Linked DNA regions of Diceros bicornis minor. The main gene of each other region encodes a partner of the protein of the gene in region 2 in a complex. Links are inferred from orthologs where the notes say so. Each region holds a gene or a part of one and is shown on either strand. Other genes may lie near its edges.

Evidence for each region.
Region 1: the proteins of SCN7A (region 2) and SCN3B are in contact, whole or in part, in a cryo-EM structure (PDB 7TJ9), measured with the Homo sapiens proteins. The link is inferred for Diceros bicornis minor from reciprocal best matches to the Homo sapiens genes SCN7A and SCN3B. Residues at the interface, in NP_002967.2 of Homo sapiens: Arg269, Glu293, Tyr296, Leu298, Glu299, Leu305, Gln315, Cys316, Pro317, Glu318, Gly319, Tyr320, Asn922, Ile923, Thr926, Cys927, Lys929, Ile930, Phe939, Ile956, Tyr957, Asp959, Gln960, Ile966, Tyr970, Met973, Ile974, Tyr977, Ile978, Leu981; in NP_001035241.1 of Homo sapiens: Val25, Cys26, Val27, Glu28, Val29, Arg44, Ile46, Lys50, Arg51, Glu52, Glu53, Val54, Asn95, Gly96, Ser97, Asp99, Gln101, Asp102, Phe126, Phe128, Ala130, His131, Pro133, Val135, Thr154, Ser155, Ser158, Glu159, Met162, Leu165.

What each region holds. Positions count from the first base shown.
Region 1 is NC_080746.1:13,825,378-13,840,303, reverse strand, and holds the start of SCN3B (sodium channel subunit beta-3), read right to left. Parts: upstream 7,025-14,926; 5' UTR 6,681-7,024; intron 6,256-6,680; 5' UTR 6,230-6,255; coding exon 6,175-6,229; intron 1-6,174. UniProt on the Homo sapiens protein: Regulatory subunit of multiple voltage-gated sodium (Nav) channels directly mediating the depolarization of excitable membranes.
Region 2 is NC_080749.1:48,484,995-48,500,420, forward strand, and holds the start of SCN7A (sodium channel protein type 7 subunit alpha), read right to left. Parts: upstream 7,286-15,426; 5' UTR 7,062-7,285; intron 6,943-7,061; 5' UTR 6,833-6,942; intron 1-6,832. UniProt on the Homo sapiens protein: Sodium leak channel functioning as an osmosensor regulating sodium ion levels in various tissues and organs. While most sodium channels are voltage-gated, SCN7A is not and lets sodium flow through membrane along its concentration gradient.

The DNA.
Region 1 (14,926 bases), on a different chromosome or scaffold from region 2:
GACTGCAAATTCTGAGTGAGTCAAAAGTGGGACATGGCTGCCAACAAAGCAAGTGCAAACGTGGGCTGCATTAACAGATGTACAATGTGCGGAACAAAGCAGGAACGGTTCCTCTGCACTGTTCTGAACAAATCTGGACTATTATGATCAATTCAGAGTGTCACTTTTACAAAAGGAAGTTGTTCAATGAGCACATTCCCAGAGAGGGGCAAGATGGAGACTGGACAGGGGACAAAGTCTGGTGAGGAACAAATATGAGGACTAGGAGTGCTTAGCTTGGACACAGAACTTATCTGTCTTCAAATATTTGAAGGCTGGGCTGTGAAAGAGAAAATAGATTCTGTTAACTCCAAAAGTTACAAGAAAGTAAGTTTAGCTGAACTAAGGACAATAAAGAATTTTCTGGTACTGAAGCTGTTTACAAATGCAAAACACTATTTGGTAAGAGAGTCTACACCTCATTGTATGAAAGATTCAAAAGTGAGATGACCACTGAGGGTTCTTGTATTAGGACTTCTAAGGGCCCTTCTGATGCTACCTTCTCATGAATTCATAATAAAAACAGAACCCCTAAAAAAATGAAAATACACATTGTCATTTAAGAACTAGTCCACTGTAAATGGTCAGTCTGTTCATCTACTGGCAGACAATTCTTTCTAAAAGCAGAAAAAAGCTTTATTTAGAGCTTAAAATGAGACTGGCTAATTTTGAGTCAAAAAAGGAAATACTGTATTTGACTGACTTAGAAGGCAACAAATTTTATTTTTAAATACAGAGTTTAAAAACTAGTGGCACTATGGGGCCGGCCTGGTGGCGCAAGCGGTTAAGTGCGCGCGCTCCGCTGCGGCGGCCCGGGGTTCGCTGGTTAGGATCCCGGGCGCACACCGACGCACTGCTTGGTAAGCCATGCTGTGGCGGCGTCCCATATAAAGTGGAGGAAGATAGGCACAGATGTTAGCCCAGGGCCGTCTTCCTCAGCAAAAAAAAAAAAAAAAAAAGAGGAGGATTGGCGGATGTTAGCTCAGGGCTGATCTCCTCACAAAAAAAAAAAACTAGTGGCACTATGATAAAGTTTAAAATGTCAAGGTAAAATAAATTTAATTGATTTTAAAACTCTCAGGCAAGCTGGGGTTGGTCTTCTCAGGAAGTGTGCAAGAGAGTCTCCTGCTTTTGCACAGGGACCATCACTTTAGCGGAGAAAGGGTCCACAACTAGGGAGAACTGATCAGAAACATCTTCAGCATGTGATGAGTTTGAAGTCTTGATTATAGGCCTGGTGAAAAAAAAAAAAGAAGACGACGACGACATTGTCTGTGCAAAAGTTTTGAGTAGGCAGAGGTGTAGAGTGTGCACTGAGAACTCTGTGTAGCAGAGAGCCTTGGGGCACATTCATATTTAATGACATGTGGTAAAGATAAGCTAGTTCAATAATGATGACTTCAAGAGCAGAATATGAAAATGTACCAAAGAATATACAGTTACAGTTATAGAGGCAGGATGAAGATGGTATTTGGCAACTGAAGGCCTGGGTTTGATCTACTATTTAACCTCTCTGAGATTCAGTTTATTCATTAAGATAATGCTGAAAATAATATCTAATAGATTTGTCATGAGAATCCTATGGAATAATTTATAAGAACATACTTTGTACAAATATCACTTTGTTAATGTTATTTTTACCTTTAATTTATTTATTCATATATTCAACAAATATATCAAGTGCTTACTGTATGCCAGGCACTGTTCTAAACACTGAGAATACAACAGGGAACAAAACAGAAACCACACCTGCTCTCATGGAGCCTTCATTCTAGTTGAGGGAGAGAGAAGATAAGCAACACTAAATTGTTATGAGCGCTATGAGGAAAAACAAAACAGAGCAGAGGAGATAGAGAGTGCATAGGATGATTGGAGACAGCCTCACTGAGAAGATGACATCAAGCAGGCACTGAATGAAAGGAATGAGGGAGCAAACTATATGAATAATTGTGTGAAGGTGTGCCAAATAGAGGAAATAGCAACTCAAGGGTCCAAGGGTGGAAGTGTGTTTATTGAAAGCAAAGAGCACAATAAAGTACAGGGAACAAAGCAAGAATAGAAGGAGACATGGTAGGAGAGAGAAGCCAGGGCCAGATCATAGCTGGTCTTGTCAGCCATGATTAGAACTTTGGCTTTTGCTTAGAGTGACATGGGGAGCACTGGAGGGTGCTGAGTGGAAGAATGATATGATTTATACAGAATTGCATGATTTGACTGCCATGTTGCGAATGAACTGAAGAGGTGAGGAAAGACAAGAGTGGAAGCAAAGAGGACAGTTAAGAGGTTGGTACAGGGCCAGCCCCGTGGCTTGGCGGTTAAGTGCGCATGCTCTGCTGCTGGTGGCCCGGGTTCGGATCCCGGGCGCACACGGAGGCACCGCGTCTCCAGCCATGCTGAGGCCGAGTCCCACATACAGCAACTAGAAGGATGTGCAGCTATGACATACAACTATCTACCAGGACTTTGGGGGAAAAATAAATAAATAAAATCTTAAAAAAAAAAAAAAAAGACGTTGGTACAGTGATCACACTGAGAGACGGTTCAATGGTTTTGCTTGGATGAAGGTAGTAGTGGAGCTGTTGGGGTTTGAAAAGAAATAATTTGCTGCACTAACATCCTTGAATAGGTGAGAGGTGATGTTCTCTAGTGAACAAGTAGATGAGTTAGTCTTAATATAGGACACAGCTCATTTACAGTTAAAGGAAGAAGGGAAAAATATACGCAGTCAGGATGGTGAATATGGCATGGGAGCTCTCTTTTTCCTAAGTTGCCCCTGAGATGATAATAATCCAAGGTATCACCAGAGAGCAAGCCCCACTGATTCCCTTCTCCCGGCCAAAGTCCAGTTTGAAGGCATAAGAACTCTGCTCATGAGGTCCTAGATAGTACATTGCAAAATGGCCACAAAATCCTCTCATCCCTGTTTGCTTGCCCTTTGCAATATGACTTGCTGCTCCTTCCATCAAGAAGTGAATTCTGCTTCTCCACCCTGTGAGTCTCCAGTACACCACTGCCTCTCTTTCTATGAAATTCTCTAGATATCCAAGAAAAGGTTGTATGTATGGTAGGTGTTCAACCCACATTGCTGACTGTAAATAATAAACTCCTGGAATAATCTTGGCCAAATCATTTGACCTTTGGTCTCCTCTTCAATGTCCATAGTAATAATGAGGAAACTTATGAGAAGGAAGAATATGAGGTATTAATGATGATTATATTTAACTAAGGAATAGCATCAATCTATAACGAGGTAGATACTAATGTGTATTGAACCAACACCTCTAATACCCCAAATCTTTTTCTCGTCTTTGGGCATTGCTATCTTGCCCCTCCTAAACTTGCTCTAGAATGCTTTCTTTTGTGTTAACATAACAAAGGCTTTGATTAGAATGTAAATACTTTCCAAAAGGGGGGAATAAATGAAGTTATTTGCAAATATTAACACCTTGAAATGACTTAGTCTATCAGATTAGACAGTCACTTAGCAGAGCCTTGAAAGAATGGGATGCAACATGGGCTAGTTGGGGAAGAGAGGAAAACATTCCCCAACACAGCGGACATCTGGGAGAGCAGACCTAGAGAGGAAGAGCAGAGAGGACACTAGGAGCTAAGGGATGAGTGAGACCCTAGGAAAGGTAATGGCATGGGGGAGGAGTGGAAGGTAGCTCAGAAGAGGGATGAGAGGACAGATGCCCATCAGGCAATCCTGCACAGCAGCACATGTGTCCATCAGAGGTGCTAGAACAAGCACTGTAAGACTGAAATCAGGAGACAAGAGTTCTCTAGCAAGTCCTTTCCCCTCCCTGAGCTCATTTTCTTGTCTCTAAATTGGAAATAGTACTACTTCCCCTGGCTATCCCCGTGGGATTGATATGGGGGCCAAAAGAAGTAACGGATTGAAAATTGCTTTGTAAACTGTAAAGCACCAGGCAAATGTAGGGTTTTTAAAATTATTATTATTACTATATACTTTATTAAAGGAAATAAGGGAACTTTTTTCAATACATGCAGAAAATAAAAGAATGGAAAAAGTTCTTTCCATTCATATTTGCATCATGTGAAAAATCAGCTTGGGAAAGAAGAGCACATCTACGCTAAGTGCTTTCCAATACGAGAATTACATGCAAATAAATGAAATTATATTTCTGAAGCGAGGCCCTTTCTCTTACATTTAATAGCCAAGTTTCCTGAACCATCCCTCTTTCTCGCTGCAGCTTTTCAGTTTGGTGAACCAATGTTCAGATTACAAAGATGCTGAGAATGAGGAGGGATGGGTGTAATGTGCGCACACTGCCAATTTTAGCTATATTCTGTAAATATTTCCCTACCGTTCAGTTGTGGAGCTGAAAAGGATGTTAGATATCATCTGCTCCAACCTCCAAACTTTGGATATGAGGAACTAGATAATCTAAGGTTGTTACACAGCAAGCTAGTGGCAGAGCAAAGACCCCAATCCAGGTTTTGTAAGTCCTAGTCAAAAGGTCCTTGGACAATATCATGCTCTCTTCCTCCACTGGAATTCAGGCAGAGATGCTGAAAACTTAAATTAGGGTTTGGGAAGAAAGGCTCTGTAGAATCTCACCCCAACCCTCCTCTACAACTTTATCTCCCATTGCTTTACCCACACTCTTTCTTATCCAGCCAGACTAATCTCTCCTAAGCCTCATGTCCCTAGGCTTAGCCTCCCCTGAGGAAATCCCAGCCTTAAATTTTCAAGGTAGGTGACATCATTGGCAACCTATTATGTCGGCTTCATCTTCAGGTCTGGTCTACTCTACTGGGGATGGATGGCAGGGAGTCTGTCCTTGGGACTGGCGTTACTCTCCCTCTTTGTCCTCCCCAGCACTCTCTCATCAGGCATTTTCTTCAACAGGAAGCTTGGCTCTGCTTCTAGTCACAGGCAAAATCCAGATAATGCTGGCTGCCAGAGTTAGTCCTGGATGCTTAATAAAGTGATACTAAGGCAAAGAGGCAATTCCTATCAGCATATCTGAGCTGCACAGGCAGAATGAGTTTCATGCAACCACGGGAGCATAATCCCACATGTCTAGTTTCAACAGGGCAAGTGCGCACAATCACTTCTAATTATCTTGGTTACTGATTTTTAGCATGGAGGAAGGTAGCTAAGATCATATAAAGCAATATATCAACTGAAGAGCTTCTATATTTCACCTGAAGATCTAATCAGAATCACCAAGGCAGAGATGCCCAGTATTACACAATCACCACACACACACAACTACATCCTCACCAAGCCATTCAGACGCCCATACTAACATGCTCAGACATACACTAGCGCACACGTTCAAACACTGAGGCATACATTGACACAGTAAAGCATTCTCTCAACCACATATTCAGACATTATCACGTAAACTCATTAATTCCCTCTACACACATCCAGGCACCCTGCTGCAAGCTCATCTCTGACACCACTCTGCTTAGCCTTGCTGTTGTAAGTGCAGGGCTCCCTTATTTGGAGTGAGAAGGTCACCTCATTCCCCCACAGCAGACAAGCAAGAACCTATTCGTCTTTGAAAGCAAAAAACCCAGCTCCCCAAACACCAAAGCACCTTAGCTCAACATGTTCACAAAAAAGAAGAAAGATGCAATTCCCAGGTGCCTATTTACCTAATACATAGGTACAAATGGCTGAAACCTGTTTTCCTTATTACAATTAAACAGATGGATCAACAATTGAAGTATTTTCACTCTTAAAATGCATGCATCCAGCTTTTTTTTAATATGTAGAAATTAATTTGAAGACTCATTGACGACTCATTGAGAAATGAAATGTAACTGCAACTGAGATTTTTTATAATGAACGTGACTGCATTCCCTTTCAGCAAAGGGAAACAGAAAAAAATACCTTGGAATTAACAGGAAACGGGAGGAGGGGTGGAAAAAACATCAAGGGAGGTTCCAGAATAAAGCAGCAGCGAAGCGGGGAGGCATTTTTCCAGTCTTAAAATCCCAGCTTTCATGGAACCCCTTATGGATCTCCATGTCTGGCAGACGTGCACAGAGGGAAGCCAACTAGGGCTCCTTTTTGTCACCAACGACATCAATAAGTGTTATTATTGTTTGCGTTATTACTGTTATCTGCATTTCACATGGCAGGGTGCTGGTACTTACCCCAGAAGATGAGCACGAGGGAAGCCAGGGGAAACAATCTGTTGAAAGCAGGCATCTTTTTTCGGTGGGTGACTTCCAGAGCTAAACAGAGAGATTCCCTTGGTCAAGAACTGCGTCCTCTCAGACACTTTCGAGGAAACCCTTTGGGACGAACTGCCCCAAGGGGGCGACTTTCTGACTGAAATAAGGGCCAAGCGCCGGTGACTGGGGAGGCTCTGCAGGCTTTTTGAGCCAGGTGGGGGTTTCAGCTCCAAGCTACCCTAGCCGACCGCCCCAATTCGAGGGAGCAGATCAGCAGCTTCGCACGCTCTCCCCGGAGCCCGTTGCTGGGATCCGGCTCAGCACCACGGACAGTACCTTCCCCGCCCACCCCGGAACTTCAAATTCCAGTTGCACGGCTGCTTCTCTTGTTTGCGCCTCGGAGAAAGCTCAGCTCGGAAGCGAGCAGCATGGCTGGCTCTAGGCGGCCGGGCTGTCGAAAGGTTCCATGCTGATCCACCTCTCACCTGCCCTAGGAACAGCTACGCTCCGACCAGGATCCGCCAAGACCCGGGAGCGCCGGCGTCATCCGCCTTGACCGGCTTCTCCAGCTGGGCGTGTCCACCCGAAGCCACCGGGGCCACCCGTCTGAGCTACAAAATTCGTTCCACCTCAGTGCCGTCCACACCCGCCCTCGGCTCCCCGGGGAGGTCCAGGGGGCAGGGGAGGAGGCGGAAGCTCTTGTTTGGCTGAAAATTTCAGAGGCGGGGGGTGGAGTGCGGCGGGGAGGATGGGCCCCTTCCCCAGAGCTCGCTCCCGGATCGTGCCGGGGCCCCGACCCTGGGTGGCGGGTGACCAGCTGCCCTTCTCCAGGCCCCCCTGACCGTGTATGCTCAGTCAGCCTTGACATGCGCAGGCAGCTCTCCACCCCCACCGCCACCACGGACCCACCCCCTCGTGCACACACTCCCCACCCCCAAACAGGCGTGCCCCTCCCAGGGCCGAACACGGCGCTGAGCGGGGGGCGGAGCCCGGAAGAGCGCAAACACCCCCCGCCGCCGCGATTTCTCAGCTCGCTGGCTGTCTCCAGGTCTGCCTTGCACATCTCTACACCTCGCCCCAGCACGATCACACCTCCCACCAATTCACTCTCCAGACCACCCCACTCCTGCTCCCGCACAGACATGCTTGCCTCCAGCTTCGGGAAGGGGCGGGCAAAATCTCTTTCAGGCAATGATGTCATCTGCAGTGTACACCGTACATGGCTCCCGGCTTCTCTCCCCGGACCCCATCCCCTCCTGTTCTCCCAGTCTGTCCTTCGTCTAGCCTCGATTAATTGGTTCCAGGCACACTGACCGCAGCGTGACAATCCCTCTTTAGAAGTGCGGTAGGGGTGAGGCGCACCTGTTCCCATGTTCACCTCCTGCTCGGTGAGGTGATCCAAAGGTCAGCGCAAGTGGTGTTGGGGGAGGGGGCAACTCCCTCTCGCTCTAATCACTTTTTTTTTTTTTTAGTTTAAAGCCGATAGATTGTGGTTTGGCTTCTTCCAACTATTAGCCACTCCCTAGTCCTAGCAGCTGTTTCAGTGCCTGCGCCCCATCTCTGGAAGGGAAACCTGAACCTTTAAATTCAGTCATAGACTCAAATTGACATAACAGGTTAGGAATGCCTGAAACTGAAGTGAAAGGTTAATACAAGAACCTCTCTGCTCCCAGCTTATCATCCCCTCCTGCTCCCTTTCCAAAAGGAGAAGCTTGACACTGATATTCCAAAAAGGAACGGCAGGGTAACAGCTGACTGTAACTGAACCATATGCAGGAAATTCTCCCTCCTAACATATCACAGAGCAACAGAATGTCCCCAAGGCAGGATCTTCTTCCTGGGCAGGGAGCCACCAGGCCATAAACTCTATGTTGTTTTGAAGACCAGCCCTTGAAGCATAGTGTATTAGATTTGGATGAGAAGTTCAAGTTGACTTAACTCAACCTCCTTTCCAATTCATGAATCCCCCAAGAACATTCCTTTGAACAGTCTTGACCTTTGTCAGTGATAAGAGCTTACTACTTCACAAGTCAGTCCCTTCAGTTGTTTAAGGAAGTTCTTTATGTTCGATTGAGTTCTGTTTACTTCTCTTCCCTCCTCAAACTCCATTAAGAGGTCCTCAATCTGTTTTCCTTAAAAGAGCAATGCTTCCCCAGACCCCACCCCTAAGACTTTTTTGTTTGGGGCTAAGCTTCCTAAGTTTCTTCCAGTGTATCTCCTAGTAGTTTCAAACCCTTAACCACCCTGGTCACTTTCTCAGGAGGATTTTTAGTTTCTCGGCATGATTCTCAAAGTGAAATCCAGAACAGGAACTGATGTTCCCTGTGTGGTCTGACCAGCATAAATCCAGGGGAATTATGGCCATACTTGCTTAGAGAGTATGCCTCTTCAAATACATTTACAGCCATATCTCACTCAGAGTAAGCTTATGGTCAGTTAAAATCCCTAAGCATGTTTCGCTCGATGTGTTGCAGAGTCATTTTGTACTTATACAGGTAATTTTGGAAAAATTTTTATGAAACTCTGCACTTATTGCTGTTAAAATTTATTAGTTTCAACCAATTATCACATCCTGTCCATATTTTTATTGAATGCAGATTCAATCATCCAACATATCTCTCTTCTTTAGCTTTTTTCCATCTCTAGGCTTGTCAATCACTTGGTCCAAACATAGATTTTAAAAAAAGTGGATAGGAAAAAAACAAAGAAGAGTCCTTTGGCATGGTTTTAGAGACCTCACTCTACCTTGGCAACAAGCCACTGATTAGACTTCTTTGGTATGGTTGCTCAATCACAAACAAATACCCAAGCATATCTCCCTATTTTCCATATTTATAGCATGACACATTCTGCAAATTTAAAACAAACGGTATATGTGAGAGGAATTAGACTTATAATGATCCAAAGAAAAGAGGTAGGATCAATGGTTTACATCTACATGGAAACAGATTTTCAGCAATATCTTTCAAACCGTTCCAAAGCCGAATGACTTACCTTTTGTTAAGTTCAAGCAGTTGCTATCCAAAGAATTACTGAGATGTCATAGAAAAAAAAATCTTCTATAGGTTAAAAATTTGGAATAGGGGCTGGTCCAGTGGCCTAGTGGTTAAGTTCGCACACTCCGCTTTGGTGGCCCAGGGTTTGCGGGTTCGGATCCAAGGCGCGGACCTACACACCGCTTATCAAACCCTGCTGTGGCAGCGTCCCATATAAAGTAGAGGAGGATGGGCATGGATGTTAGCCCAGGGCCAGTCTTCCTCAGCAAAAAGAAGAGGATTGGCAACGGATCTTAGCTCAGGGCTAATCTTCCTCACACACACACATACAAAAAGATTTGGAATAGATTATTGATAAAGTTCCAATTATCTTTGAGATAATGATTTTATTGAAAGTCTCACCCCAATACATAGAGTGACCAAGATATTTTCAGTCTGATAACTCTCTCAACTACCATCGCTACAAACACTGCCACTACCACAGCAGGAATTGGCTTAATATTACATGATTTTTTCTTACGTCTATGTGTGCTAATTCCTAATAATCACAATGTTGTTTTCTAAATGTTTATCAATCCCATTTTAAATATTCACTTTGAGGATTTTACGTGAGGTTTTAGGAACAATGTACTTGTCTCTAGTTTGCATAAGCCACTTCCTCTGTCTCTCCTCTATTAAAAACAGGAGCATTTGGTCTTTTCAGTCTTCTGACATTTCTCTTGATTTTTGGCAGTGGCTCTCATTACTTTTGCAAGTACCTTGCATTCCCTAAAGTACATTTGGCCTTGTTCTGAGAGTTTTTAACTCATTTAACTTGTTTAAGTTATCCCTCCCTTCTTTTTGCCATTTTGGCTTCAACTCTTTTTGGCTGTTTTTTTTTTAACCTTTTCCAATTTGATGATCATCTTCCCCTTACATTTGATAGGTGAAACCATCCATTCTAGGCTAAAAACAGTAGTCAGAGCACTCTGTCTCTGTAAGATCATGCACATTTCTTGCTTAAAGCCCTTCAATGGCATCTCATTGCAGTTAAATAAAATCTATACTCCTCACTATGGCTAACAAGGCCTGCCCTGAGCCCTGGCTACCTCTTCACACGCATGTCTACCATTCCCTGTCTTGTCCACAATATTCCAGTTACACTTAATTTTTTAAAAACTTGCCTCAAACTTACTAAGCTTTTTCCCATTCTAGAGCCTTTGCACCAGATGTTCCCTCTGCCTAGAATGCTCTTCATCTTATGGCTGGTCTCGTATCATTCCAGTCTTGCCTCAAATGACTTCTCCTTAGAGTGGCACTTTAGAAAGTGGTCACACTTTCTAAACTGGTTTCCTGTCCAGTTCCCCAACCTGGAGCTACTCTCCATCTCACTACCCTGTTTCTTGTTCTTCATATCTTCTCTCACGATCCAAAATTATCTTATTTTAAATTTACATACTTGCTAATTTTCTGTTTTCTCCTATCAGGATGTAGGCTCCATGAAAGCAGCCTCCTTTGTTCTGTTCGCTACTGTCCTCCTACGCCTACATTGGTAACTGGCAGATGTTAGATCCTCTATGAGTGAATGAACAAGTGAGATCATATCATAGTGATCATCATAGTGAGATCTGTGATGGATGAATGAGTGAGAACAGTGTGGAAAGAGTGAACAGCTGAGGCCATAATCAATAGAGGGAATAGAAAAAGAATAGTCAGAGAAATGGGAGGAGATCCAGAAAGATGCAATGCCACAATAGGCAAGGAAAGAGAGAATATCTGGACTTGAGGGACTCTCTTCCTTAAAGGGGACTCCAGACAATTATGCTCAGAGACTGAGGAAGTGGAGGGGGAAGTATGAGGCCTGAGGTATTCACAGATGGGGAAGGAATAACTTTGACAGGGAAAAAGGAATGGCATCTGAGATGTGCATGGAGAGGTTAGTTTTCCTGAAGAAAGAAACCCATTTCACTAAGATTATGGTGGAAAAATTAGAGAGAACAGTATTGGCAGTGACACTGTGAGTAAAGATAAAGTATGAGACCATAAGATACGCATACCGATCTTGGAAAGGCAGGAAGCAAAATCATCTGCTGAGAATAGGGATGGGGAGTGACAGGGGAACTGGGGACGAGGGAGACGGTCTGGAGTCACTGTGGGCCTCTTCCTGATGCACAGAAGAATGCCAGGAGAAGCATTTCAAGATCAACACATACGTGACCTAAGAGTCAAGATGCAGAAATCAGAGCTCAAGGAAGGCAAGTCAAGTGACCTGCTTTTGCCGTTCTAAGTGGATTTTGAAAAATAGTGCACACCCCGTGAGACAGGGAGAGGAAAGAAATATGTTCAATTTAAACTGTGGCCAAAAAGCACATATGGAACTGAAAGATATCAGGCTCCCCCAGATCGTTCCCTCATCCTGCCTGCCAGCTGTGTGGTTACTGTGACCGGCCAAGGGAAGTTTGGGATTAGAACAGGAAACAGTGACATGATGAGCAGACTATGCTGTCCCTTCCTGGATCTGCACATGGCAGAGAATCTGGCAGGTAAGATGGGGCCAAAAATGTTTATTGAATTGAATTTCATCTGAATGAGTAGGGAAGCCAGAACTTTCCTGACACTCAGGAGGGCCCACCGCCGACTCATAACACAACCTGTGTACGAAAGAAGCCAGTGTCACACTGTTCGTAACCAGCCTCCAGGAAGCGCATGGTTACACATCGGTGAGAAAGCTGTCTATAGGTAGTTATGATAATCCAAACATTTGAATGAGAAAAAAAGAAAATATAAATATAATGATAAAGTACTTCAAGCTCCTCAGAAGAAAAGTTATAATATATTTCAAGTATTGCTGTCAGGCTGGCATAATTCTTTATGCATTTCTGGCATGCATGTGGCTCAGGCGCTGAGGCTACGGAGAAGGAAAGTCTTTTAGAGAAATGTGTCCTTATTGCCTAGCTGCTGATCTAGATGCTCTTGTTGTTCTGATGTTTGGGGCAGGAGCAACAGTTGAGCCCTGACTGACTCAATGCTCATCAGAAACATTATTGAAGAAGGAGACAAAGAAACCACAAAATGAGCCCCAGGTAAGCGACGGGAGGCCTATGTCCCCGGCTACTTCTACTCTGATGCTGCTGATATTCTCACTCCACGTCTCTGAACCAGTTCTCTCTCTCTAATTGTCTGCCTCCCAGAGGGGCTGGGAGCACAAATGGAATAATATCGGGTGGATGTGTTTTGGATTTTGTAAAGCCCTATAAAATCAAAAGATGTTAGGCTCCTGTTTAGATTATTTCTTTAATCCTTACAGAGATGTGCTCAGCTGTTAACTTCAGAATGATGAGAAATAATCAGCTTTTCATGGTTTACCATCGCCTCTGTTGTCATTTTCATCATCAACAGCATTATCTTCATAATCATAATACTATTTGAGGGCAGGCTTTGGCCCAAAACAATACTATGCACCTTACGTGGATTAACTTATTTCATCCTCACAACAATTTTAAGGAGTAAGCACTATTATTATTCTCTCTCTCTCTTTTTTTTTTTTTGAGGAAGTAAATATAAAAGAAGTTAAATGACTTGCTCACTCAACTTGTATACAGCAGAACTATGACTCAAATCCAAAGCTGTTTGTCCCCAAAGTCTTAAGGACTTAACTTCTTCCTATAGGACCTTCACCATCAAAAGACACTTCCATGTGCAAATCAGTCAGAAAGTTAATGACTCATTATGTAATGTGAAGTTCAAAGCTGAGTACTGTGTGTGTATATGTATATATATGTGAGAAAAAGTAGATATAACTACCTTACTAGTAAAACTTCTAGTATGATGGAAAAGTATGGAATCTAAGTAAATAGACATGAGAAAATCCAACATATCTTGTGTTCTTTTTTCCTTTCGTTCTTTCTCTCTCTCCTTTTTTCTTTGCAGGGTCAAGAATCTTATAATCACTTATCATTTAGAGAGCTCACATGGATTAACATGAATGAAAACATCTTTGTTGTTGATCTGTTTTTGTTTTGTAAAAGGAACAACATCTTGGCCTCATCTAATGGTTTTATTTTTTTATTTTATTTTTTCCCCCCAAAGTCCCAGTAGATAGTTGTATGTCATAGTTGCACATCCTTCTAGTTGCTGTATGTGGGACGCGGCCTCAGCATGGCCGGAGAGGCGGTGCGTCGGTGCGCGCCCGGGATCGGAAACCGGGCCACCAGTAGTGGAGCGCGCTCACTTAACTGCTAAGCCACGGGGCCGGCCCTAATGGTTTTATTTTTAAGAACACAACATATTTCATTGAATTCTCCTGATATACCTGTGAGATATGAGAGACTATTCATGTATTTTAAAGACGGCAAAAATTGATATCTAGAGAGATTAAATGACTTGTGTACTGTTACACTTCATTCTTTCATTCAGACTTTTTCTGAGTGTTTACTCTATGCCAGGTATTGCACTAGTCTCTGACTTTAAAACAATAACAGCGAAATTGTGTGGTAAGGACTATTGCATACAGATGGCCTAGAAGATGGAGTCACAGATTATTCTTTGGGGCTGGTGGTGGGGGCATAGCTGGGAAAGTTTTGAAAGAGGTAATATTTGAGTGCAACCTTGATAAGATGAGTAGCGTTTCCTAAAGAAGAGGAATGGTAGATTGGAGGTTAAGGGGTGTTCTGAGTGGCTCACCTTGTTGATGCAAGTGGCACTCTCCAGGTTCTTAATCTGGGGCCCTTGTCACTGAATGACACTGCTGTTTTCAAGTAAGGTTATGATTTGGAGTCACTGAGTGGAGTAATGGAAAAGCGATATCTTTGGGGTCAGATAGGTTTATCCTGGATACTCTGCTTGTTACCTCTGTAACCCTGGGCAAATTATTTAATTCCTCTGACCCTTAGTTTCTTCAGCCATAAAATGAGACTAATAATACTACCTACCTTGTTGCTATTTATGAGGATTAAATGAATTAAATATATAAATCACCTGATGTAATGCCTGGCCCTTAGCATAAACTTAATAGATATTATTTTTTCTGCCTTCTTCTTAAATAAGGAGTAGGCACTATTGCCATCTTCTTTTTTTTAGGAAACTAAATCCAAGAGGAAGTTTAATAACTTGGCCACTCAACTTGTATGTGGCAGAACCACCAATTCTTTGCTTTCCGTTCTTTGGCATGCTTCGCTCACCATGGACCCAGATATCCCCTGGCAGCTGTGTGTGGCCAGGAAGAACTCAACACACCAACTCCAGGACTCAAAGGAGGAAAGGGAAGGGCCTGTATATCCAGACGATATGGAACAATAACAGCTTTTAAAAATTGTTGCATTTCTGTAAGTACTTGAGGATGGGATTACGCCTAGTGTTTGGGAAAGGCATAGTGCTGGACTTTGTGTTTCAGAAGGATTAAAGAAATCATGCTGAGAAAACCTGACTGAGCTGAATAGCTGTGAAGTTCCCTCATCCTGCCTTCAGACTTATTCTTCCCTGCTCCCACTCCATCATGGAGATGGCTCCCCCAGCTCCCATAGCACACAATTCTACCACAGCTTTTGTCAAACAACCTTGTAACTGGGTGCTTTGGGATCTGTCTCCACCACTAGCCTGTGGTCTTCCATCTAGGGCAAAGATTTGCATTCTGAATTCCAACATGGATTTCGAGAAAACACTCCCCCTCGCCATAGTGGTAAAGATGGCCCCACTTTCTCTAGATTCTTCACCCTTTAAGGAGGGGCAATAGGAACTCACTCACCTTCTGGGTGAAT
Region 2 (15,426 bases):
TAGGAGCCAGCAGCCCAACCCAGACAGATAATTTTCAGAGTATCTTGAGCCCCTCAAGATGAACCTAATGCAGCCTGCAAGACAGAAAGATTCCTTTGGCTGATAGCCAAGCTTCATCCAACCACCTTTATAAAGCAAGTAGAGACACCATTACACTTTCTTTGGTCATTTTTTTCTTGTCTGATATCCTAAGTATGAGAGACGAAGCATATACTGGAATTGCCGAGGCAATACCTGCTTTAGAACATCACTTCTCCAGAAGAGCAACGTTCTTTTCACCTCTTTGGGCACCTTCTCTCCCTCAACTCCAGAATTTTCCTCATTCTCTGGGTGCCTGTTTGGCAATGACCTTACCAGATGTTGCCCTTCTGCCACAGAGGTCCTGGTGCAAAAAAGTTCTAAAGTTTGAAATCAAAGAAATGCAACTGGGACATCCACCTTATCCTGTTGCTCCCAGTTTCCTTCGAGATAATGAGTCTATCTTTTTCCTTCCACTCTTTCGTCTTATTTCCAACCCATCCAATCTCATATTTAAGTAGTGTGACCAGAAGTCATGGGTTCTGGGGACAGTTTGGGTTTATGCCTGTTGTTCAGCACTAATTATTAATGGCATTCTCTTTCCTTTTCAAAAGCATCCTGAGTTGCCTGACAGGATGATGAATGATACGGTCACCCAACCAGCGAGCCAGTGTTTGGCCTCTCTGTAGCTTAATTCCCAGGGAAGAGGTTGTGTGAATAGCATTCTGTATCAGCAATTGCAGCTGCATCTTCTTGGTGATAATGGAGGACAGGGAAGAAAGAGGATGTCAGAAGTCAATGTTTTTCCTCTCTCCTTCTCCCACACCCTATTGCTTCCCCTGTCCTTCAGTTTGATTCCCAGAGCAGAGCCTACCAGTGATGCAGTCAGGCCGTGGAGAAAGATTTTGCACGTGTAGGAGGTGACTGCCTAGGATAGTCACAGCCTCCTCACTTTCATTTTTTCCCACCTTAGGGAACTGAAACCTCAGTATCTAAACAATCGACCTCTATGCTTTCTGGGAAGCTGGAGTTGATCCTAGGGATGAGAAATAGATGATAGATTTACTTCGCCAAAGAGAATTACAAAATGCTCCACTTTATACCAGCTAATATATATTTATTTATTCTCCTAATGTATTTACCAAAAAGATTTAGGGTAGTTTACAAGAATATAGGCCATAGAGCAAGATAAGATAAATTAAGAAAAATGAAGCAAAAAAAAAAAAATAGGACAATGGATCTGTAGAGTAAAGATAATATCCCAAATGCCAATTTCACTCTGACATGGCATAGGAAATAAAGGGCAAAATGACTTCTCACTTAGTTTCTAAACTATTTTGAAACAATTATGCTCTCTATCAGACATGGACAACGCATTAAGGCTATTGCACCAATGTCATTAAGATAAAAAAACAGAAACAAAAAAAATGTAATGATAGTAATAACAAGGCTGATACACAAGTTAACTTGGGACTAGAAGGTGCTGGACGCATAAGTGAAGGAGACAGAATTAACGTGATCATTAAATGGACTCTATATTGTTGAGAACGTAGGAACTACACCTGCTTTAGTGAAGGGACCAATTTAGATTGACATTTTTGTTCACTGGGGCCACTTGACTGCACTTCATAGATACATTACGGCTTATATTTCATCTTTCCCACAATCTGTGATGATTCACAGCTGAATTCTCAGATGCAGAGCTTTTTCCCCTAGAGCTATCATCTTTTTTTCTCTAGGGTTTAGAACTCATATGATATTAGAGGCATTGCTTTTTTTCTTGTTGAGGATATGAAAATATAATCATTGTCTTTCAGGAAGCAGAAGGCTATGAGAAAAGATGACAAACTCAGGAAATTCTGAGAGATATGGATGAGATTAAAACAATCATTAACTTTAACAGTAAAGCTCTAGAGACGTAATTGAGAGTCTTCTCAACAGATGCGACTTTTGGCAGGCTGGGATACGAAGCAATGGGCACCCTCACACAATTCAGGTGAGAGTGTAAATCAGTGTATTTTTTTCCTGAGGTACTGCTTGGCAACAGTTTCTAAAATAAAGGTTGCATGTACTCTTTGACCCATCAAGTGAACTGCCCTGAATATTCTTGCTGAAGTTTGAGAAGTCAGGTTTGCAAAGATGTTAATCACAACATACTTTCAATTTCAAAGACTGGAAAAAATCAAAGTGTCCACCCTAAGTACCATAAATTCCAGTATTTCGCTAGCGTGGAACACTAGTAATAATGAGGAATGAGACAGATGATAGATCTGTGTTCATATGGAAAGATTCCCCAAATAAATTATTTAGTGAAAAATGTAATGGTGAGAATGGCTTGCACTGTTTACCTTTGAATACAATATTTTATAAGTATTATATACATAACGTTATATATGCTGGCACATGCATAATGTTTTGCCTGTGGAAGGAAGTAAACTGCTGTATCTATGTAGAGACTGAAGAGGAGTCAGAGGATGCTGTTGCTTTCTGGTTAATATTTCTATACTATTTGAACATAATTTACCATGTATATGTATTACTGAAATCCAGAAATGGGAACTTTACACACTGAAGGCTTGGCAGTAAAGGACAGATATACCAGAATGGTACCAATTCACCTGGAATTTTCCAGCTGTCTGTTCCACTTGACTTCAACCTACTTGGTTTTCTGCTTTGGCATTATTTTTCCACTTGAGCTGCTTACTTCCTGTTTAGCTTTGATTATCTGGCTCCTACACTTTTACTTCTCCCTGGCAGACAGTTTGTCTCATCTGGCTTAATTGACTTTTTCTCCTTTGTCCCTGGACCTAGATTCTGCCTGGAGCTGTGTTCTACTCTCAGGTCAGCCTATTTGGGCTTCAATACATCCACTTAATTCTGGACTCAACTCCCTCACTCTGACAATTTCAGCCAACACATTCCTGTAATATGTTATCTCGCAGAGAAAAATTGTAAATAACTAACTTTCTCAAAAACGTAAGTAAGCATTGCCATTTTGTTTTGATTATATTTCTTAAGAATTTTAATCCAGGCATTCTTCTGGATTCAAAAACTAGAAACACAGCATTGTAAATAAACAAGCACCAGCAAAAATTCAAAGGGACGCGTCCCATCTCTTCTCTTTTGAGAACTGAACTCTCCCCAAAATCTGGTAAACATGGATCCTAGTGATAGTTCATTAAAATAATTAGGAGCTGAGGTCTCTGCAAGTGTCTTCTTTCCAGTGAGGAAGAGTGCAGGTCACACACATTCAGAGAGGTACAACTTATATTGAAGAGAAGAAATCTGGACAAAGTGTCATATGACAAAGCCTTAGCACCTGGTCTCAAATTCACTTACAAGAATGAGCCCAAGGGAAGCCCAGTGGATGTCTGAATGCCTTGAGGGGACGCAGGACAGTATGTCTCTGTGGGGGATGGAGTCTCACCAGGAAAAGCCATTATGATCGGTGAGGCAATGAGGGCAGGGAAGGGTTCCAGGACCATGAAGGAAAGCTGCCTCGGTTTTAAGTATGCCCACTTGAGCTTCTCTATGGCACCCTCATGGTTCACTAGCAGGGGCCCTTGTTTCTATGGATATAAGAACAACTTCCAAGCTGTGGCTGTCCAGCCCACCAAAACAAGCATGTTGGGGGAAGGCTAGAATCTTTCCAGAACTAACTGTTCTTGTGACCCTAGTGAGTCAGACCCCTGACCAGAAGAATCCAGCCAGAGGCCATTTAAGACCTCAAGAAGGAGGAATGTATTCTTGCCCCTGCTACAGTAATATGAAGGAGAGCTTGTTATGAGTGTAACTTCTATACTCATCAGCAACGGCGAGACCTTAGATGCCACTTGGTCTGCAGAATACAAAATTTAAAAAAAATTCCAGAACTGGCACATTCACTGGAACCCTGGAGGCTTCTTAGAACTGGCTATTTACCTCTCCTCCTGATCACTCTGAAAGAGCCTGCTTTCCCAGGATCTACTCCAACCCCGCAAAACTACTCTAGCCTTTCAAATGTGGAACCCAACATATAGATACCCAATCCCTTCTCAAACTGGAGGGCAACTAGAGAGGAGCCTTGAAACATATTAGGGCGAGACTAGATATGGATCTGAGCCAAAGTTATAGCCTGTAATCAGGTGCTTAGACCGTGCAGCCTCTGCAAGAATTCAGAGAATGAGAGCCTGGTGGACCAGGACCCTCACTCTGGCCTCTAAAGCAGAAGGGAAGGAATATTCCACTGAACACCACATAGTCAGCCAGGGATTATGGCCCTCAAATTGGCATCCTCTGATGTTCTAGTTTAAAACTAGATGCCCTGTCCTAATCTCAGACTTTTAAAATCAGAAGTTCCCTGAGTGGGGCCCCAGCTTCAGCATTTTTGTCAAGCTCTTGTTTGACGCTGATACAGTCAGTCTGGCACCCGGCTGCCACCACAAGCAAATCTGTCCACAGAGCAGGTTATCCTCAGCCAGCAACAGGCTGAGTCCACCCAGTCAGGAATACTGTGCATACAACAGGAATATCTGTTTGCCAGACAAATGGGGGATCCCCCACCAGGATGGAGCATAACCAGAATAAGCCTGGTTTATAAATAGCAACGATTGAACAAATACATGGAAATCATGATCCCAGCTGGGCCAAGAGATACGGATCAGCTGAAAAACATCCCTTGAAGCCCTGGGATGAGAACTTTCTCTTCAGCCTTAAAAGTTCCCTCTTTCAGTGTTGCAGAGGTGAGACCTTGCTTGCCTGGCCTTGGTTAAGCTACACTACTAGAAGAGAAGGGGACCAACTCAGGGAAAAATGAGATCTGTCTATACAAGTTGGTGTCATATGATGGTGAGTGACTGTGCATTGCCGATAGCTAGTCAGGGTGGGCAGGGTTTACAGACATCCCCTCACGACTGTTGAATCCTGATATTGGTTAGTGGAAATAATGGGTCCAGATCCCAGAAATCAGGAATATCTCTTTTATGCTAATGCTCCCACCATAAACTTTCAATAGAGAGTCTATGGTGGTAGGTGTAAGGTTGTGGCTCAGTCTCTGACTACCCCAGTTGTGGTACAGAGCCTGTCATAATGAGATCTAAGGCTGGGGCATATTAGGATTCTTCATCCCTAAGTAAGGGATTGAGCAAAATCCTGTTATTTCCATTACAGTATGCTTTAGATCTGTGTTCATCCTACCTGGACAAAATTAATGGGAGTGTATATCATTACCCTCCCAGAGCGTCTCCCACAAGAGGCTGTGAGACAGAATGCCCAGTTCTGGCAGCAGGTCCTGGGGCCTGCCCATGTCATCTGGGATCCATTGGTCCCTTTTCCTGAGCCTACGTCCATTTTTAGTCTTTTCTCTTATTGTTTTAAACACCTCGACGGGAAAGAAGGAGCTCACAGTACCTCTCACCTGAGTTCAGGATTTTAGTGAATCTCAGCAGTCAAGAGAAGAGTGTTTATCTCTAAACATTGATTTCTCCTTTATTAATTAATGGACCAAATAAATTCAGCAATATCCAATATACTTGATGGTTTCATCCCAAGGAAGTAAGACCACATATCTGAAACAAAATTTAAAGCTAAAAAGAGAAAGAGGGTAAAGTATATTTTGAGAATATTCAAAGGTGTTTAAATATAAATGGTTAGCCAAAGCATACAATTTTTCAAGGATGGAGGCTCACAGGTTAGAATATACTTTAAACTGTACAGGTGGCAAGAGATCATGACCTGGATTTGAATTTCATTTCCTCTAGTGCATTCTAGCAAGGGTTGTCAAAGCTCCTTTTATTCTTATATTGAACTAGACTTAAAGTGAGAGCTAGAATAGTGAAGTGGATAAAAACAGAACAATTCCTTATACAAGCAACAGTTACACATGATATTACCTTCACTTAACCCTTCATGTAATCTGTGATTTAGTCCTTACAGGATATGTAAATTTTTTGTGTCATTTACATAAAAGAAAAATAAAGCTTAATCAAAAGTTAAATAACTTGCTTCGTTTTCGCAAAAATGGAAATCAAGTTTTATCATTCTAAATCCCAAAATCTTCTTCATTGGACTTCCAGCTCATCATTGATTAGCCAGGTAACCTCATCAAATGATTCCTATGGGCCTTATCTTCTTTATTTGTAAAACTAGCAGCCGGATTATAAAAATTTTAATTATGGCTGGTCAACGCAGATATGGTGCCCAGAACTCTGTTTATTACAGGTCCCAGCTTCCTTTTATTTTGCCATAATCTACTCTCCTGAACGATAGCCAGGAAGAAAAATATCCACAAAAAGCACCTGCCAAACTCCTCCACATTTCAAGAGATTTTTCTTGCCAATATCCAAACCTGACTCCAACATTTTCATTAATGAAGGGAGCCCATCATTCCACATGTATTCATCATTTCTCCTACTTTGATGGATAGCCTACGTATTGGAGGCAACATATAACCAGAGTCACAATGAACACATCATCACGTCTAAAAGAAAACCTCCAGAAGGTATGCATTTTACAGAGCTAAACAATGCAAAAACAAAAACAAAAAACCTGTTGATCCAAACAATCCCAGAATGTCTATACATTTAAACTGGGCACATCATTTCCCATCACATCTGTGCCTCTAATTTTACACTGCCAATGCTTACATGAAAAGCACCAACTTTGAAATCACTAAGTTACTTAGGATAAAAGATGAGAGTCCTTAGAAGTATACTCCATCCTGCATGAGCTTTTATTCTTTTTGGTCTATCATAGTGTCCTGAAACCTAAAAGTCATTGTCATATAGGATTTCTAGACATTTTACACTAACAGAGCATCTTGGCTTCAGAAGCTTACCTGCTGCGATGAGAAAAACCACCACAGGTTCAGTGCAGAACACACACCCACAAACCACTGCTGCTCTTGAAGTAGTTCTCTTGATTGATGTCTAGAATCTCAGTCTCCTGCTGGGGACGGTAAGGGTGTCTATGGAGTGGGGCTGGCAAGGGCGGGTGGGAAAGGCTGGCAGCAGATGGTGGCTATCCCCATCCTGGGACTGGGCACACAGCAAGAAAAAGGCACTTACTTGCTACCATGTAACCGGTCTCCACCAGCACCTGAGGGAACTCAGAGAAGCTGGACTCTTTAGAGCCCTTTTCTCCTTCTGGGTTTCTCTTTCTTCCCGGATCTCTCTGGTTTCCTGAGCTCTGGTTGCTTAGGAGGTGTTGCTAGGCTGGCGTCTGCACTCACCAACTGATGCCACCCAGGCCACCACGGCTCCGCTGTAAACGGGCCGCACTGAATTGCCAGCTGGAAACCAAGTCTCCGGGGCGGCCTCCCAGCCACTGACCCAGAGACCCCTCCTGCCCAGACGCGCAGTGGAGCCGCGCCCGCCGCCTGGAAGCTGTTTTTGTGCCCTCCCCACTCCTCTCTCCCCTCTCCCACGCCGCCTTCTCCCCCGCCCTCATCCCTGGCCCAGTGTGCGGCCTGAGCATCCAGACCGGGCGTGGGCGGGGTGATGCTGACAGAGACCTGCAGGCACCGCTGCAGCCGCAGGAACAGCAGCTGCTGCCGAGCCGCCTCCACCAGCTGCCTGCAGGGGAAGGGAGGGGGCGAGAGGAGCAGAATTGGGGAGGAGGGGGAGCCGGGAGAGGACTCTGAGGGCATGAAGGAATGGAGAGAAGTGGGGGGGGGGCAGGATGTGAATAGGAGGGAGAGGAGGGAGAGAGGAAGAGAGGAAGGCAGCAAACTCAGGTGTTTACCTTCAGTTGCTTTCTCTCTTCCCTTTCCTAACTGCCCCAGTAGAGCTTGTCAGGGGCACTTGTCAGCCTGCAGCATTCAAATCCGGACATTGCTGTAGCGGCGTGTGTGTGTGTGTGTGTGTGTGTGTGTGTGTGTGTGTGTGTGTGTGTGCGCGCGTGTGTGTGTGTGTGTGTGTGTGTGTGTGCAGCTGTTTAGGAAAGAATGGGTTGGAGCAACTATAACCTTCTCACTCTAGATTTCTTTCCCACTCTGGTGATTTGAGACACAAGGGACAGAGGAAAAATTATGTGTATTTTGGAAAAGTGGTGCGCTGGTGTGCAATCATGTAGTTTGGGGGTGAAGGGAACAGGTGGTGGACCTTTTTTCCCAAAAAGAGTTTGGAAAAATTTTGCTACACCATAGAACTTTCATTTTATAACCCTATGTTGTTCAAAAATCTTGAAGTTTCCTTAAAAAAAGATTCCTACTGCACATCAAGAAAAGATAACAAAAATGGGGAAAAAGGAAAAGAAATCATGTATATTTATAAGAGGCTCAAATTTTATATTCCAAGGCATAGGACAGAGGAGTAAAGTGGAACCAAGCTAACGCTGGTTCTGTGCAAACCATGTTAGGGACAGTGCGTTTCACCCGTGATTCACAGAAAAGGCCTTGTTACGTGTATTCTGTTCGTTTGTTTAAGTTATACGTTTGTTATGAAAAATTTCAAACATATACAAAAATATAAAGAAAGTATAGCAAACTTCTATGTACTCATCACACAGCTTCAACATGTGGCAGCTCAGTTGTCAACATGTAGCCAATCTTGTTTTGTCTGTACTCGCCCTGCCACCTTGGATTAACTTAAAAGTAGTCCAGACATCATATCATTTTCTCCAAAAATGTATCACCATATGTCTCTGAATGATAAAGACTTTAAAAGAATAAAACCCAATACCATTATCATACTTAAAAATTTACAATAATTACTTTATAGCATCGAACATCCACTTGATTTCTTTTTTTTTTTGAGGAAGATTGGCCCTGAGCTAACATCTGTTGCCAATATTCCTCTTTTTTTTCTCCCCAAAGCCCCAGTACATAGTTGTGTATCATAGTTGTAGAGTTGTAGCTCTTCTATGTGGGACCCCGCCTCAGCATGGCTTGATGAGCAGCGAGTAGGTCAAGGCCCAGGATCCAAACTGGCGAACCCCAGGCCGCCAAAGCAGAACGTGTGAACTTACCCACCGCACCACAGGCCAGCCCTGACTTGATTTCGTTTTAATAGACAATGTATGGATTACCGGCTTCTCTTCTCTGCATTTTGTGGTGACAATACAAGTGAATTTTCTAGTGCATAGAACTTTTCCTTGTAGCAACCCAACTTATGCATCCCTTCTCACCCAGTAAAATTCTAGGTATCTTTCAGTACATTCAAACATCATATAAACTTAACAAACTTAATGTCAAATATTTTAAAGCTTAAATAAGATACGTGACATAAACTGCTCTGTATAATGTGTAATGAACAGAAACTAATCCCAAGATGTTGTGCAAACCTATAATAGAAACAAGAGGCAAATAGAAGGGAAATCAACGATATTGGCTTTATCTTCTGAGTCAGACAACCATTTTTTGTTGTTGTTGTTCTATAGCAAATATTTTGCCATTACTATTAGATAATATTACTAAGTCGATCTGACTAATTTGGGCAATTATGATGCTGCTAATAATGAGCTGATGAGATCCTTTAAGTTGCTCATCAGGCTGAAGTGTGTGTGGTGGGAAGGTCAGTTGCTGTTTGTTTTCCACACTTCTGCGTTAAGAACCTTATAATCATGTATTCTAAGCCGTGTTTCCTAAGTATGTATTCAGAAGGTAGAAGTTCTAGATCCACATGCCCTACCCTGCTCTATCACGCTACCCTTGAACCTGATAGGCTCCTGGGGAAATTATTTTCCTTGCAGCCTGCTTAAGTGGACGCTGTTTATTCTAACCTCAAGGATGTTACTCTCAGGAGTTTGGATGGTCCTAGTGTTTTTATTCTCACTCCACATCACCACATCCAGGTTTGGTAAAACCTTAAACAATTCTCCTAAAATACAAACAAATCAAAACTCTTCCTTTGAGGATATGTCATCTAGCTGTCTCATCCTTTTCTTCTTCTAATCTAGCATTCATCTTCTGACTTTATGGATACTCTTATTTATTAAGGATTTACTTTCTGATTGACAGTATTCTCTTTCGTTCAGACTCTTACTATTATTCTTAACAACCTTTTTCATCCATTTGGATGCCAACAACCATTTGGATGAAACATCCAATGGCCTAGCTTCTGATTTCCTTCCTCATAGATGATCTTTTTCTCCACTTTACCTCAGCTATTAATTCCCACACTCATACTTTGAATCTTATCATAGCTAGCAACTGCTTTGTTTTTCTCTATAACACTCATCTGGCATACTAAATATCAATTGCTTATTTGTTTATTTTCTGTCTTGTTCCACCAATATACATGCTGCATAATAATGGGGACTTGTTTATCCTCTGCTATAAGGTAATAGTGAGAGTAGAGCTTGTAATATAGTGAGTACCCAGTAAATGCCCCAATCCACTAAGTGCTTCCCAGAAGAATGTGGTGATTCACCATAGAAATAGATCATAGAGCACACGTAACATGAAGAATATGAGAATTGTTTGTTGACCTGCTTTTATTCTGCTAAATCTCTGGTACTTATATACTTTAATGCTTCTGTAATACATAGGTGTGAAAATTTTTCCTGGCTGCAGAATCTTGATACAAAGCACAGGCCTACCTAAAAAGAAATGATAAAAACAAGAAAGTTCAATTTTGTCTATGGGGAATGCCAGGGCACTCAGAGAAATAAAGCATTCAGCATCACAATGTTACTTCCCTTTCCCTTATTCTGGTACAATACGGAATAAACATTGGTTTGAAATTGTTGTCAAAATCCAGGCCTAGATGTTTTTTAGGATGAATATAATATAAATCATATTGTAGAAACATGTCTATCTGAATAGTTTGAATTTTATGATTCTTAAGACTTCATATTTTCTTTAGCAAATGCCAGTTAACTTTCCTTGTGTCATCTGTAACATCACAGGCAAATATCTATACTCATTTTTGTTTTAGTCTCTTAGGGCTGCTATTGAAGCCAAGTACATAAGGGTTACTGTAAATATTTGATAAGAACATGATTACTCTTCAACCTTGTGCCCAACAAAGACACAGATGAAAAGAAGTTAATCTTGTTAATTTGCTGTTTTCTTGTTTAACCTGAGGGGTGAATCAAGGGTCACAAGGATTTAAGAGCTTGTTTTGCAGAAGAAAATGAATGTCTTTAAGGAAGTTACAACCACCAGATAACCAGCTGCCAGCTGCCCACTGCTGCCCAGGAGTCTGGTTGCCCAAGGGCTTATCTGGAGTGAAAGGAACATGGATTTCCCCTTTGTTTCTCCAAAGCTCCTCCTCCCAAGCCCCCTAACTCTCTATAAAGACCCTCTGCTTTCTTCTTTTGTTAAGATGGATTTGAGAGACCCTATCGTCCCCCTTCTCCTTTTGGCCAATTCGAATAAACCTTTCTCTGTCTCCAAGCACCAGTGTCTCAATGATTGTCTTACTGCACACTGGGCACAGGAACTTGAGATTAAGAGGTTCTGTATCACTATAACAAAATACCACAAACTTGGTGCTTTATAAACAACAAAAATTTATTTCTCAGTTTTGGAGGTTGGAAGTCTGAGATAAGGGTGCCAGCATAGTCACATTCTGATGAGACCCCTCTTCTGGGCTGCAGACTGTAGATTTCTCTTTGTATCCTCATCACATGGTGAATTGCTGAAAGAGGAAGCAAGCTCTCTCATGATTCTTAGAAGGGAACTAAATCCACTCATGAGGGCTTCACCCTTATGACCTCAACTAATCCTAATCACATCTTAAAGGCCCCATCTCCTAATACAATCACATTGAAGAGTAGGGTTTCAACACATGAATTTGGCAGGGAACACAAACATTCCATCTATAATACTTTCATTTCAGTTTTTATCATCCTCACATACCTACATAAAGACAGTGCTGCAAAACCAGAATCAGTTCCTTATCGTTATTTTTATGTGTATAGCATCCTACGTGTGATTCTGATTATTTATAAGCTTGAGTTCCTTAGAACTGTTCCAGGAAAACCTTGCCACAGTGTTCAACTGTGTCCCAAGTTCCAGAACTATAAGAATTTGGACAGTGAATAAAACTGTAAAGAGTTAACAGTCACAAAGGAACAAAATAAATAGCTTGCTTCTTAGAGATTCTCAGAAATGAAAGAACAGACTATAGATGGTAAGAGCCAACTGGGCTCCTCTACAAAAAAGTGGGCAAAAACCCTTTTAGAATATTAATTATCAGTTGATAAATTTCTAAACTTGTTCCAATTTCTCAGATCCCCTGGGATATATATATATATATATATATATATATATATATATATATATAAACACATTGCTCCAGTTTGATGCTTTCCAAAAATCTTCCAAATATAGCCATAGTCAATAAAGAATATCAGCAAAAAGTCAAATTATATATTGGAAACCAGCAGAGAAAAAAATGTCAAACATACATTTGGAAAACACACACACACAGTATAAAATGAACGATTTTTTGCACATATTTATTTCATAGTTTGCCTTAATCCCAAGAATCAGATTACAAAAATCACAGACACATCTGGAGTTCTTGTTCAAAATGTTCCTGATCACAATACATTCCACTTTGCAATTTTGTATCCAATAACCATCTATCAATCAAGTAATTCCTAGCTAGGCTTGGCAGAAGCTCAGAATATTTTCAAGTGAAAACATAAAATAGAAAACAAACATAATTACAAAAATGCAATTTATTGTCATTTATCTGGAAATCCATTATAATTTGTGTGTACATATGTGAAATCGTTGAATATATGCATGTCAATATAAAAGTCAGATTTGACTGCTGTAACAAAAACCTAAAATAACTGTGGCTTAAACATGGCAGAAGTTTATTTCTCTCAAACCTAATAATCAAGGTATAAGCAGTCCGGGGTTACAAAATATGAGCAATCAGGCTCTTTCAATTTTGTTGATTTGCCATCCCTAGTGCATTATACCCTCATTTGCATGATTCAAGATGGCTCACCAACACATTTGTATTCCAGGGGCAGTATAAAATGGGAATATATGAAATGGAATTCATGCCCATTCCACTAAAGGTTACAATCCAGAAGTTTTATTTTATGCATCCTTGAGTTCATATCATGTTGGCCAGAGCTTAACTCCATAGGCACGTTGGTTGGAAGGAAGGGTGGGGAATGTCATACTTATTCTAGCATCTATTCAGTGAGCTAAAAGTTGAGGTTTCTACTAATGTAGAGAAAGGTAAGAATAAATATTGGGGATGACCAGCAACTTCTGCCGTGCCATGTCTGCATCTGCAATTGGCAAATTAGAAAACAGCAAATTAGAAAAAATGTTGTAACTTCTAAAGATTTAAGAACATACAAAAGCATAACCAAATTCATAAATAAACATTTCTCCCTACCTGAATTAGAATTATCAAGCAAGAAATTTGATTGATTGAATTGAAGATTGAAGAGCAACCAACCGAACAATAATAGTGATAGATTCTAGTTTGTTTCCTCAAATGTACTAGATTTCATTGGTTTGATAATAAGATGGCAGCTCTAAAAGTTATCTCACTTTTCCTCTCCCAAATTTTTCAAGACAAGGAGTGCAAAAACTAGAAATTGCTAACTACCTCTTCAGCAAAACTATGAAACATTTGTAACATCAAAACACAATATATGAAGTGGAATGTAGATGGAAAAATTAAAATAAATGATTTAGTAAAGTGGAGCAAAGAAAGTCTGACCTAATTGCCTGTGAGGAGTGATATTCATGAGAGTCAAACTACTCCTTTCTGCAGATAGCTAGAAAATCTCAGAAACTGAAGAAACCTGGTCATCTTGCAACTGAGTATGTTTGGGTCTGAAAACAGGAAGTTGTTTGAAAATCTTTAGGCCACCTGAGGTCTAACTCTAGCCCATGCTGCTAACTGCCCTCTTCCTCAACTCACGGTGGGAAGTACATTCTCTAGAAAATTTGGATTGTGGAGGCTTGAAATCAGGAATATTAATATAATGTTACACAGAGGAGAATGAAGAGAAGTGCTGGACTGAGAAGAGGAACATTAATAAAAGTTTGTATTCTAAATAATAAGCTTTCATTTTTGCCCCAGGTTCTTTCCCTTAATCAGCACCCGGAATTCTGGTAGTCACATTTTTTATTTCAGAACGGAGATTCTAGGATCTTCCTCTGGTTAAAACCTGACCTATCACACAGGATAGACTCATTGATATTGGTATTTTGGTGTCTTCAGCAAAAAAGTTAACTGATTACTGGGTCGTCCTAGAATAAAGCCTTCTAGTCCACAAGATTTACTTCCCCGAATCTCAAACACATGCATAAATGCACTGAGTATCCACTTGGGTACTTAGTGATCGCTAAACAAGAATCACTGGACATTTGTGGAATGCCTTTATCATAGCAGAAGGGAACTGAAACAAATCTATTGAAAGAAGTAACTCTATGGATGTAGAGCTAGAACAAGGCACAGGAGAAAATTGAAAGACAGTATAATTAGTGTGGGAAATGAGTGATATATCCATGGAACAAGGATAGCATGCCCTATGTTAAAGGAATACTACATGAAAGAGCCCTTGGAATCTTTATCTATGATAGACTATGATGATGACAGAGTTTGGATAATAAAATTATGGAAACCACCAAGATGTACAAAGAGATGGACAATAGGATATTAAAGATAAAATTTAAATAAATAAATAAATAAATAAATTCCAAAGGTTCAAGCTTCAGTTGACAGGAATTTCAGATAGAGAGAACAAAGAACAAGTGAGAGTGAATGGTCAAATAAATAATATAAGAAAATTTCTCAGGATTGAAGGACCGGAGTCTCCCAAGTGAATGGGCCCACAGAGGATCATTCAGTTTAAAAGAAAATAGTTCCTCAACCAAATCATCATGAAATATTAGAAGCTTTGGATAAAGATAAGATTTTAAAGCTCTCAGCCAGATAAAAAAAAAAATTGTGTTAAAAACAAGGGAGGGTCAGTGTACCTATTACTCAAATCTTGCGTTAATGTCATTCTCCAATAAAATCAACCAGGACTCCTTTGGGAAATGGCTGATTCCAGGACTGCAGTAGGAAATATACCAGGTGAGTCTAGAGCATCCTGTAGTGCCAGAAAGTAAGGAAGTGCTCAAAAAAAACTCACGTTAAGGGAGGTATGTCAAAGCAAAGGGACATGGGAGCCAACTGAAAGAGCTACTAATGACCAAAGCTGGAACAATTTGAGCAACAAAATAAATAAAGTAGTGTTGGATTATAACCCAAAGTATAAAATATCCATGAGTCCATATTGATATAAATAAATGATTGAATAAATTAATAAATGTAGGAGAAGAGACAAATCTCCCATGCAGAAGAATTCTAAATAATTTATGCAGATACTCCACACTAAAGAAGAGGGAGCATAACTCCTCACTCCTTAAGTGTGGGCCGTGCGTAGAGACGTCCTTCCAAACTGTACAGTATGGAAATGGGGAAAAAGAGTAACTTTACAGTGTAGAGACCTGACAAACAC